Coturnix japonica: one gene and its partner. The protein of the gene in region 2 purifies or fractionates together with the protein of the main gene of each other region. This does not show direct contact. Links are inferred from orthologs where the notes say so. Each region holds a gene or a part of one and is shown on either strand. Other genes may lie near its edges.

Region 1 (4,442 bases), on a different chromosome or scaffold from region 2:
GCTCTGAAAGTATTAGTTCATGAAATCGGAAATAAATCTTCATAAGTGACACTGCTGCTGTGTGGCCACGTCAGCCAACTGCAACACACGCAGAGCAGCACTGCAGAATGCAGCTGTTGGGTCAGGGCTCCGAAAGCAAACCTCACACCTCCACAGCCACCTTCTTTCTGTCTGTATCTTTGGCTTCTGAAATTTGCTTCCAGCCTTTGAATTTTGCTTCCAATCAGGCTGCTGCCAATCTCACTTGGCACCAAAGCACGGCACTTCTTTATAGCCCATTACAGACTGAGAACTGGTACCAGGACAATGTGGTACCCTTAGGAAACCCAAGTGCTCCAAATGAAAGAAGGAAGAACAGAGCTGCATCTGCATGGACAGTTTAAGTTAATAGAACAGATCCTTTCCCTTTTCACCTTCCCCCACAGTAAGGCACACAAGGCCCTGAGGCAGCGTTGTACTATGAGAGGCACACAGATGAAGTTTCACCTCCTTGTTTTATATGGCTGCCATATGGAAATGTGAAACAAACCACCAAAAATATATACAATAATATACATACAATATATACAATGACCAAAAGCTGCATGTTTATCTGGAGGGTACAAACACTGTACAAACACTACGCCATCCCTGGACCTGGGATGCTCTGCAAGGACAGAGCCCAACGTGCCACAGCCCCAGCAGCAGGGCAGGGAAGCACACTGGTTTCTTTGGCTGACTCTTCCACACTTCCCACTTTGATGGCCAAAGATACAAGCAGAAAGAGAGCACAAGGTCTGCACACAGCTGCAGGAGCCACACCAAAGAAGCTCCAGGCACGGGGTCACAAGCATGAGGCCATCACGCTCTGACCAGGAGACACAGTGAGAGCAGCCAGCAGCCTGCCCAGCTCTGCTGCTTCCACCATCAGACACATCCATTATGTCACCAATCCACAGCAAACAGCCTGTGCCAGCAGCTGGAATTACTGCGCCCCTCCAACAACATGCTGAGATCCATCCCATCACAAGCAGTGCTCCACCAGTTCCAACAGCAGGACAAACCTGCTGCACAAATTGCACCCCATTACAGCTTCCCCCTTTTGTTATCCCATTTCACAAATATTTCATTAAAAAATTAGCAATGCATAATCATCACTCAGAGCTGAAATCTGCATTTAACGAGAATGGAAATAATCTCCCTTATTCCCTCCCACACCAATTGAAAGAGATGTCTGAAAATAACCAGAGCTGGCTTTGTCCCTATAATTACCCGCTGTAATCAGAAAGCAGACACGGAGGATCTGGGCACAGTGTTTCTGGGCAGCACAGCAGCAATATTTAATCATCAGTTTAGACCATCTGCAACTGTTTTGCAGCAACACATAAAGTTTATGGATTACTGAGCTTTGTATAAGCTGCCAGGTGCCGGGTCTGTTTATTTGGCCTTTTTTTTTTGCTGCAGGAGGTTCCTTTTCCCATTCTGACAGACATCGAGTGCCCAGCTGGCAGCACAGAACCCAAAATCTTCCACACCAAACCTGGCACTGAGGGAGAACATCTTGATTAAGCAAAGGCACGGATTAAGTGTTTAGAGGAAAACAATTTGAAACAATATAAAACTGGGCTTCTTTGCTGAGGGAAGCTGAGAAACTGACTCATTTGCAGCAGGTTAAAATCAGACAGCAGCCATCACACCCAGCCCTTCCCTGACAGCCACTGCTGCTCTGCAGTGAGGATGGATGAAGCTATCCCAATACAGAATCCCATGAGACGAGAGCATGAACCTTCATGCAGGTGGAACCGGAGCAGGGCAGGAGCTGCTTTATGAGCTACCCATCAGCCTTGCCTTGGTAGCAGCAGCTCTACCACTGACCTGGCTCTGTCGCACCACACACGAGGCAGCATGCGCACAGGCACAACACAGGGCTGGCTGCTCTGAATGTTATGAGAACATACACAGGGCAGCCCTGCTGTGCTGCCTGTAGGACAGCAGCTGCAGGCAAAGCCCACCACTCCCTGCCTTCATTCCAATGTTACAGATGCAGGTACCGCACTGAAGGGACTGTGTCTATCAGAACCAGAGCTCCTGTGCTGCCTCCTGCTCCCTCTCACCTCTGTTCACCTTTCTACCTAATTCCAGAGCTCTGAATCTGGGGACACGTGAAGTCCAGCTCTTGCTCTCATGCAATACATCACCTCCTGACACAGAAACATTGGTGTCCTGAGACCTGGAGAGCACAAAACCAGAACACCTGCAGAATGAATCTCAGTTGGAATCTGATGGATAAACTCAACAGCGAGAGAAGCTGCTGCAACACCTGGCAGCCACAAAGTGCATCTCCATGTGCTGCTTCCACATCATGGCAGCAAACCGAGGGCAGGCAAAGAGCCCAACACAGAGCAATGGGAAAACCAAAGGGATCAAAAGCAAACATACACTGTGCTCCAGGGCAGGATGGTGCTATGAAGGCCTCAACATTTTCAGAGCATGAGAAAAGCAAAAAGAATCCAAACTAAAATCTGAATAAAGGCTTAAAACCAACAGAAGTCAACTAGTAACTAACAGGTTTACCTTTACATTCCATAGGTATAAACTGCATCACACAACAAATAAATAACACTGATACAAATAATGCTTCACTCTCCTTCACCTCAGCCAAAGGAACACAAGAAACAACCATAATAACCCGATATTTAAGAAGCACAGAAGAATAACTGGACATTTAATAAGGATATAAAGCACAGGGAACATGCGGACAGGCCGCACCAACACACAGCTCCATCCCAGCCCTGAGGCAGCCGGATCTGCAGCCGTATCACAGTGTCAGCACGGTCAGGGCCCCCCCGCTTCCATCCCGTTCCCCCCATCCCACCTGGTAACTCAGCAGCTCCCCGACGTCCATAGCACCGACCGGGCCCCACCGCCGCCGAACTGTCGTAAAGCACCGGGATAGCACGACACCGTGCCGTAAAGCGAGGGAGAGCAGGCGCACTGCGAGGGAGCCACTCTGCCGGAAAGTGAGAGCTGAGACGCGCTGTCGCAAAACGCCGCACCGTCGTAAAGCGCCGCCATGACACGTGTGGGATGCGAGTGGTAATTGGGGTGGGGGCAGCTCGGCTCGGCACCAACCTTATAGAGCGTATTTCTTGATTGCCTCGGAGCCCGAATCGTTGTTCACGGCCCAGCGGCGTTGTTACCTCAGCAGGAGGGCGCTGAGAGGAATTAAAGACATCCATAACGTGTGAGAGGGGGCCCAGCGCCCCGCAGGGACCGGGAAAGGGATGGAGCTGCAAAATGAAAGCCACAAATCTGAGCTGCGGGGCTGAGATACATAGAGGAGAATTATTGGCTCTATTGGCTTCCATTCACCGAGTGCTGGGGCAATGGGGGGCAATGAGGGGGTCTAAGGGGCATTGGGGGGGTCTGGAGGACACTGGGGGGCTCTGAGGGGTATTTGGGGGGCTCTGGGGGGTATTAGGGGGCACTGAGGGGTATTTGGGGGCACTGGGTGGGCTCTGAGGGGTATTGGGGGTATTTGGGGGGCTCTGAGGGGTATTTGGGGGCTCTGAGGGGCAGCAATAGAGGCCCCATGTGATGGCAGTGAGCACAGCACAGGGCTGTGCAATGCAGCTGCCATTGGAACAGCCTTTGGTTTCTGCCGGCTCCTCCTGGATGTGTTTCCAGCACAGCCTTATTGCAGCCCAGGAAACTCAATTCTCAGCGAGCTGCTGCAGGGCAGGATTGGATAACGGTGTGTTTTCATGCAGTGAGGGCAGTGCGAGCACAGGGACAAAATATTGAATTAAAAAGCAAAACCAGAAGCAAAAACAAACACAAAACAATCAAAAAACACCCACCCAGCCAACTCCAATAATCGAAAGGATGGATGTGAACAGAAGCTCTTGGCACATGAAGCAGGTCCAGCACCCAGAGCTGCAGGAGGGCTGTGCTGCACCCCTCACCTGGAGATCACGGCCCTACGGCCCCATAGCACTGCAGAGAGAATCTCTGCCTTGGTTTGATCCCTGCTTTGCTTTTCAATCCAGATGCCTCCAGATCTAATTCCCTATAAATAATTGTACTGAGTAACCCGGGTCCCCCGGTGATTAACTAAACACACGGAGCCTTGCTGAAATTGAATTAGTGGTGTGCGCTCAGCCGTTATTGCCCTCCCCGCATCATGCATATTAATGAGGGGTTATTAAGAAATGTAAATGATGCCTCAGGGGGTTGGGAGTGCAAAGATGGGGTAGGGGGGGGTCGGGGAGGCGTGGGTTGATATGCCAAACCATTAGGAAAACAGCCTGATTGAAGGCACTTTGTTAATGATGTCAGATCTTGCTCTTTCTTGGATGCTGCGACGTTTCCGGATGTTTTCCTTTTTTTTTTATTAAAATGAGAAAAAAAAAAAAGAAAACGAGTCGTAACTGGAATGTGAAATGAGCATTTGCAAAGCAGAA
Region 2 (4,263 bases):
CAGCTGTTTTATTAGCAGAAATGTCCTCTATTAGTCTGTTATGCAGAACAGGGATTAATAAGGAATGCAGACTGTTCTGTCTTTGGTCAAACACTAAAAGCCATATCTCCAAAGAGCACAATTGCCACAATCCTTGGCAATGAAGTTGCTAAACTGTGTGTCTGTTGAGTATGACTGCTACTTCTGTGGAGCTGGGAATACATTTACACAAGGAGTAGGACAGTCCAGTCCTGGATCATCCAGGAGTTCTCCTTTTCTTGATGTGTACATCACTGATGTACATTACTGATGTGGCCACTCTTAAAGTACTGGGCTAGAGTAGTCTGTTCTGGTTTGTCAACTCATGTTTTTGCATATACTGGCTTCACGCAGTTCTAGCAGCAAGCCGAAAGCCGGTAAAATTAATAAAGAAAGTAAATCAAGCAGAGAAAAAATGAAGAACTACCCTAGCGTGAGGTAAACAAAAGGGCTGTAGTGCTCACAGTCATGCCCAGCTTGAGGAAGTAATGGAGGAGGATAGTTCCTACCTGCCTCCTCAGCACCCATGCCTGTCTGGAGGTTATCCTTGGCTGTCCCTCAGCCCTGCAGAGGAGATGGTCGCCTTGGAGGTACTACAGCGGAGCAGAGCCTGAGGAGGAGAAAACTGTTAGCAAAGCGAAAGTGCACGTGGTGAGAGCAAGCCTCAGCACACCTGCATGTAACCACAGGCCTGCTGTGTGAAGGCAATGCTGCCACGAGACACCCAGAAGAGAGATTCTGCACCCTGTCCCAAGCTTTCTGCTTCCAGTACTGTTTCCAGCTGTGTGTGCTCAGTAGGTTTGGGGCCTGAGTCACGCTCAGTGGGTTTTTTGCATAGTCTTGTTATTTGGGTTAGTGCCTGCTCTTTTCATGCTGACACAGCCCAGAATGCATGGCACTCAAGCGTCAAACAGGGGTGACATGCCCAATTTCTGCACACCACCCCCATGCATTTTTCAAGAGCTAGGTAGGTCTATTCTCACTCTTCTTTGGTTTTGGTGAAATGGAAGGGACAACAGTTTGGTGCTCCCTGAGCCTTTTTCACCTGGATTCACAGGGCACTGTCACACGCCACCCGTGCTGCTGCCTTGGTAGGGAAGGTCAGCATTACCATCATCACTGCACAGCTGTGTGAGCAGAGGCCCAGAGGGGTTGTGTGGTTTTGCCCACACTCATGTCAGTGGTACACAACTCCCAGGCTCCCCTCTAACCACTAGACAATGCTTCCTGCCTCGTCATGTTATTGATATCAATTCAGAATAATTTTGCAAACTGGGAGGTCCCAATGGCAAGTGCAATAAGGAGAGGCAGCCAATGAGTGCAGAGCATCTTTCAGAACTAGTATCTCTTCGCATTTTAACCCTTTGCTCTTTGGCTCATACAGCTCCAGGGCCTCTCCTAACTCCTCCCCAGACACAGTCTGAAACCCACCAAGAGTAGATAGGGGTGAATGGGGAAGGGAAGTACAGAGCATTCCACATTTCTGTGCACCAGAGGGCTGAACAGTCAGAGCCTGTGAAGCAACTTCTGCACAACCCAGTCATCTAAGAGAGAACCCAGCTGATATGGAAAGGTAAAATGAACACCTCCAATTTCTTGCTGATAGAATAAATTGCCTCTAATTAAATTGCTGTCCATTTGGTGTTTACTGTCCTTTTCCCTTTCTCCATATGACTCAGTTATCTAAATCCCCACCCTGTTCTACCTTTACACCTTGCAGCTCTCTGCGCCCACCACTGTTTCTCTCTTTGACTGTAAACTAGCCTGCATTCTTTTCCCCTCCTGTCATTTCTTCCTTGTGACTATTTTCTGTTCCCTTTCATTCTTTCTTTTCTAGAAAAAGAAAAGAAAATATAACAGAAAGATGAACATTTGGATGCTGCTTAAGCATTTTGATCTCTGCCCACTCTCCACCTATTCTCCCTCTTGCATCAGGTTTCGATCTTATTCTGTTTCTGCTGCTCTCACCTTGTGCTTTCAAGCACAGACTGTTCCAGCCCTGCATTCTTCTATTTGCTTTTAAATTACTCTGCATAATTGCACATCATTCACACACACTCAGGGGCTTTCGCTCTGATTTCAGGATTGCTTCATGAATCTTTATTTGAGGAGAAGATCCCTTCTTGTGTATAATCACAGCTTGTGTATAATCACAGCTCCTGTGTCTTTGCTGCTTTCTCTCAAACTATGTGATGTGCTCCTATGCTACAGGAGTTGCATATGTAACCATCACTTTGTACATAGCTGCAGATCTTCTCACTTGCCTCCCATAACACCTGTTCATTCATTTTTCTTCTCATACTGGTCGTGCATGGTCATTTATTAGGAATGCTTCCTAATAAAAATCCCCAGCAATGGCCAAGTCTGGAGAGCAGAGATAACAGGAATTGATATTAATGAATACTTCTATGTGTACAAATGGCTCATGACTCAAAATTGTCTTGTATAGTCTTCACTTTGTCCTGACACTGAAAGGACCCAAATGTCCTTTTCTTCTTCTTGTTATTTCTTATTCTTCACTTGTTTTTGCAACACCACACTGCTCTGCAGGAGTAAGACTTCTGAAAGGATTAAAAATGGGAATATGGAAGAAAAGGGACTACAGGAAGGAAATGAGATACATTCTTAAAGCAAATGTTTTTGTGAAAACTTTACTGTTTTATTGCTCTTGCTATATAGTCCAGGTAAGAGTTTTGCAATTTTCTCACTTATCATACCAACTTATTTACCATATGATTGTCTGGGTTGTCCTTCCTAAACCATCTGAGGATCTGCCATGCACAGAAGGGGTGTGGGAAATAGATAAAGAGTGTTTATATAAGAAATTTTCCTTGCTTAGACTCTCATATTCAAATCAGAACCGCAGAAAACTCAGCTCCACATCTCTTACACTGACTCCAGCTCCCTGCTGTGAGGGAGGTGAACAGCTTACCACAGTGAACACAGCAGTCTTCAGATGTACTTCCACATTACATTGAGGCTGTTGAATAAGGCTCATGGCTATCTTCTCATTCTCATTTTCCTGCTACCTCTCCCCAGCAGGACATCTGGCATGGGTTCAGGCCCATACCAATCTCTTTGCTTACCTAGTGTGGCAATGGAACTCACACATCAAATGTGTCACCATGCCTACCCTAGTACTTATTTCTGTCAGTTAACATATGGTACCCTACCCTATCTTCTAATCCTTAGTATGGAATGCCTCCAGCCACACTCTTCCTTTGGGAAAGGATAGAAAGAAACATCCAGTCTTCTCTAAAAAGTCTCTGATTTGATCCTTTCATTGCCCCAGTGGTTATTAGGGTTTCATATAGTAGAAAGAATACACCTTGATCCAATCCTTCTCATCTTCTCATATCTTTTTTTCCCAGATACCCTCATACTTCGCTCTCATTTGTGTCCATGTTTAGGATACTTCTGCACTCTGCTCAGGCATGGTTACTGTTTGGTTAATCACTACTAATTCACTTACTGTTTTGACTCACAAGGTCAGCTCCTCACATTGGCAAGCCTCCAGTCTTCTGGGACCTCACCAGTCAGCGCTCCTTGTTGACTGGTGAGGTCCCAGAAGACTGGAGGCTTGCCAGTGTGACTCCCATTTACAAGAAAGGTTGTAAGGAAGATCCAGGGAACTACAGGCCTATTAGCCTGACCTTGGTTCCAGGGAAGGTTATGGAGCAGATTGTCTTGAGGGTGATCACGTGTGCTGGGGCCTGTCCTCTTCAATATCTTTACTGATGATCTGGATGAGGGCATTGAGTGCACCCTCAATAAGTTTGCAGATGACACCAAGTTGGCTGGAAGTGTGGATCTGCCTGGGGGTAGCGAGGCCCTACAGAGGGATCTGGACAGGCTGGAGAGCTGGGCTGAAGCCAACGGGATGAGGTTCAACAAGACCAAATGCCACATCCTGCACTTTGGCCACAACAACCCCGGGCAGTGCTATGGGCTTGGGGTGGAGTGGCTGGAAGACTGTGTAGAGGAAATGGACCTGGGGGTATTGATTGATGCTTGGCTGAACATGAGCCAACAGTGTGCTCAGGTGGCCAAGAAGGCCAATGGCATCCTGGCTTGTATCAGAAATAGTGCTGCCAGCAGGAACAGGGCAGTGATTGTCCCCCTGTACTCAGCACTGGTGAGGCCACACCTCGAGTACTGTGTCCAGTTTTGGGCCTCCCTTGTAAGAAAGACATCGAGGCCCTGGTGTGTGTTCAAAGGAGGGCAACAAAGCTGGTGAGGGGTCTG

What was found.
Region 1: the proteins of AICDA (region 2) and CTNNBL1 purify together in Homo sapiens (affinity purification with western blotting; 3 studies listed by BioGRID, with this or other methods). This does not show direct contact. The link is inferred for Coturnix japonica from reciprocal best matches to the Homo sapiens genes AICDA and CTNNBL1.

What each region holds. Positions count from the first base shown.
Region 1 is NC_029535.1:8,600,489-8,604,930, reverse strand, and holds the start of CTNNBL1 (beta-catenin-like protein 1), read right to left. Parts: upstream 2,986-4,442; 5' UTR 2,885-2,985; coding exon 2,855-2,884; intron 1-2,854. UniProt on the Homo sapiens protein: Component of the PRP19-CDC5L complex that forms an integral part of the spliceosome and is required for activating pre-mRNA splicing.
Region 2 is NC_029516.1:68,572,343-68,576,605, reverse strand, and holds the start of AICDA (single-stranded DNA cytosine deaminase), read left to right. Parts: upstream 1-1,369; 5' UTR 1,370-1,583; coding exon 1,584-1,591; intron 1,592-4,263. UniProt on the Homo sapiens protein: Single-stranded DNA-specific cytidine deaminase. Involved in somatic hypermutation (SHM), gene conversion, and class-switch recombination (CSR) in B-lymphocytes by deaminating C to U during transcription of Ig-variable (V) and Ig-switch (S) region DNA.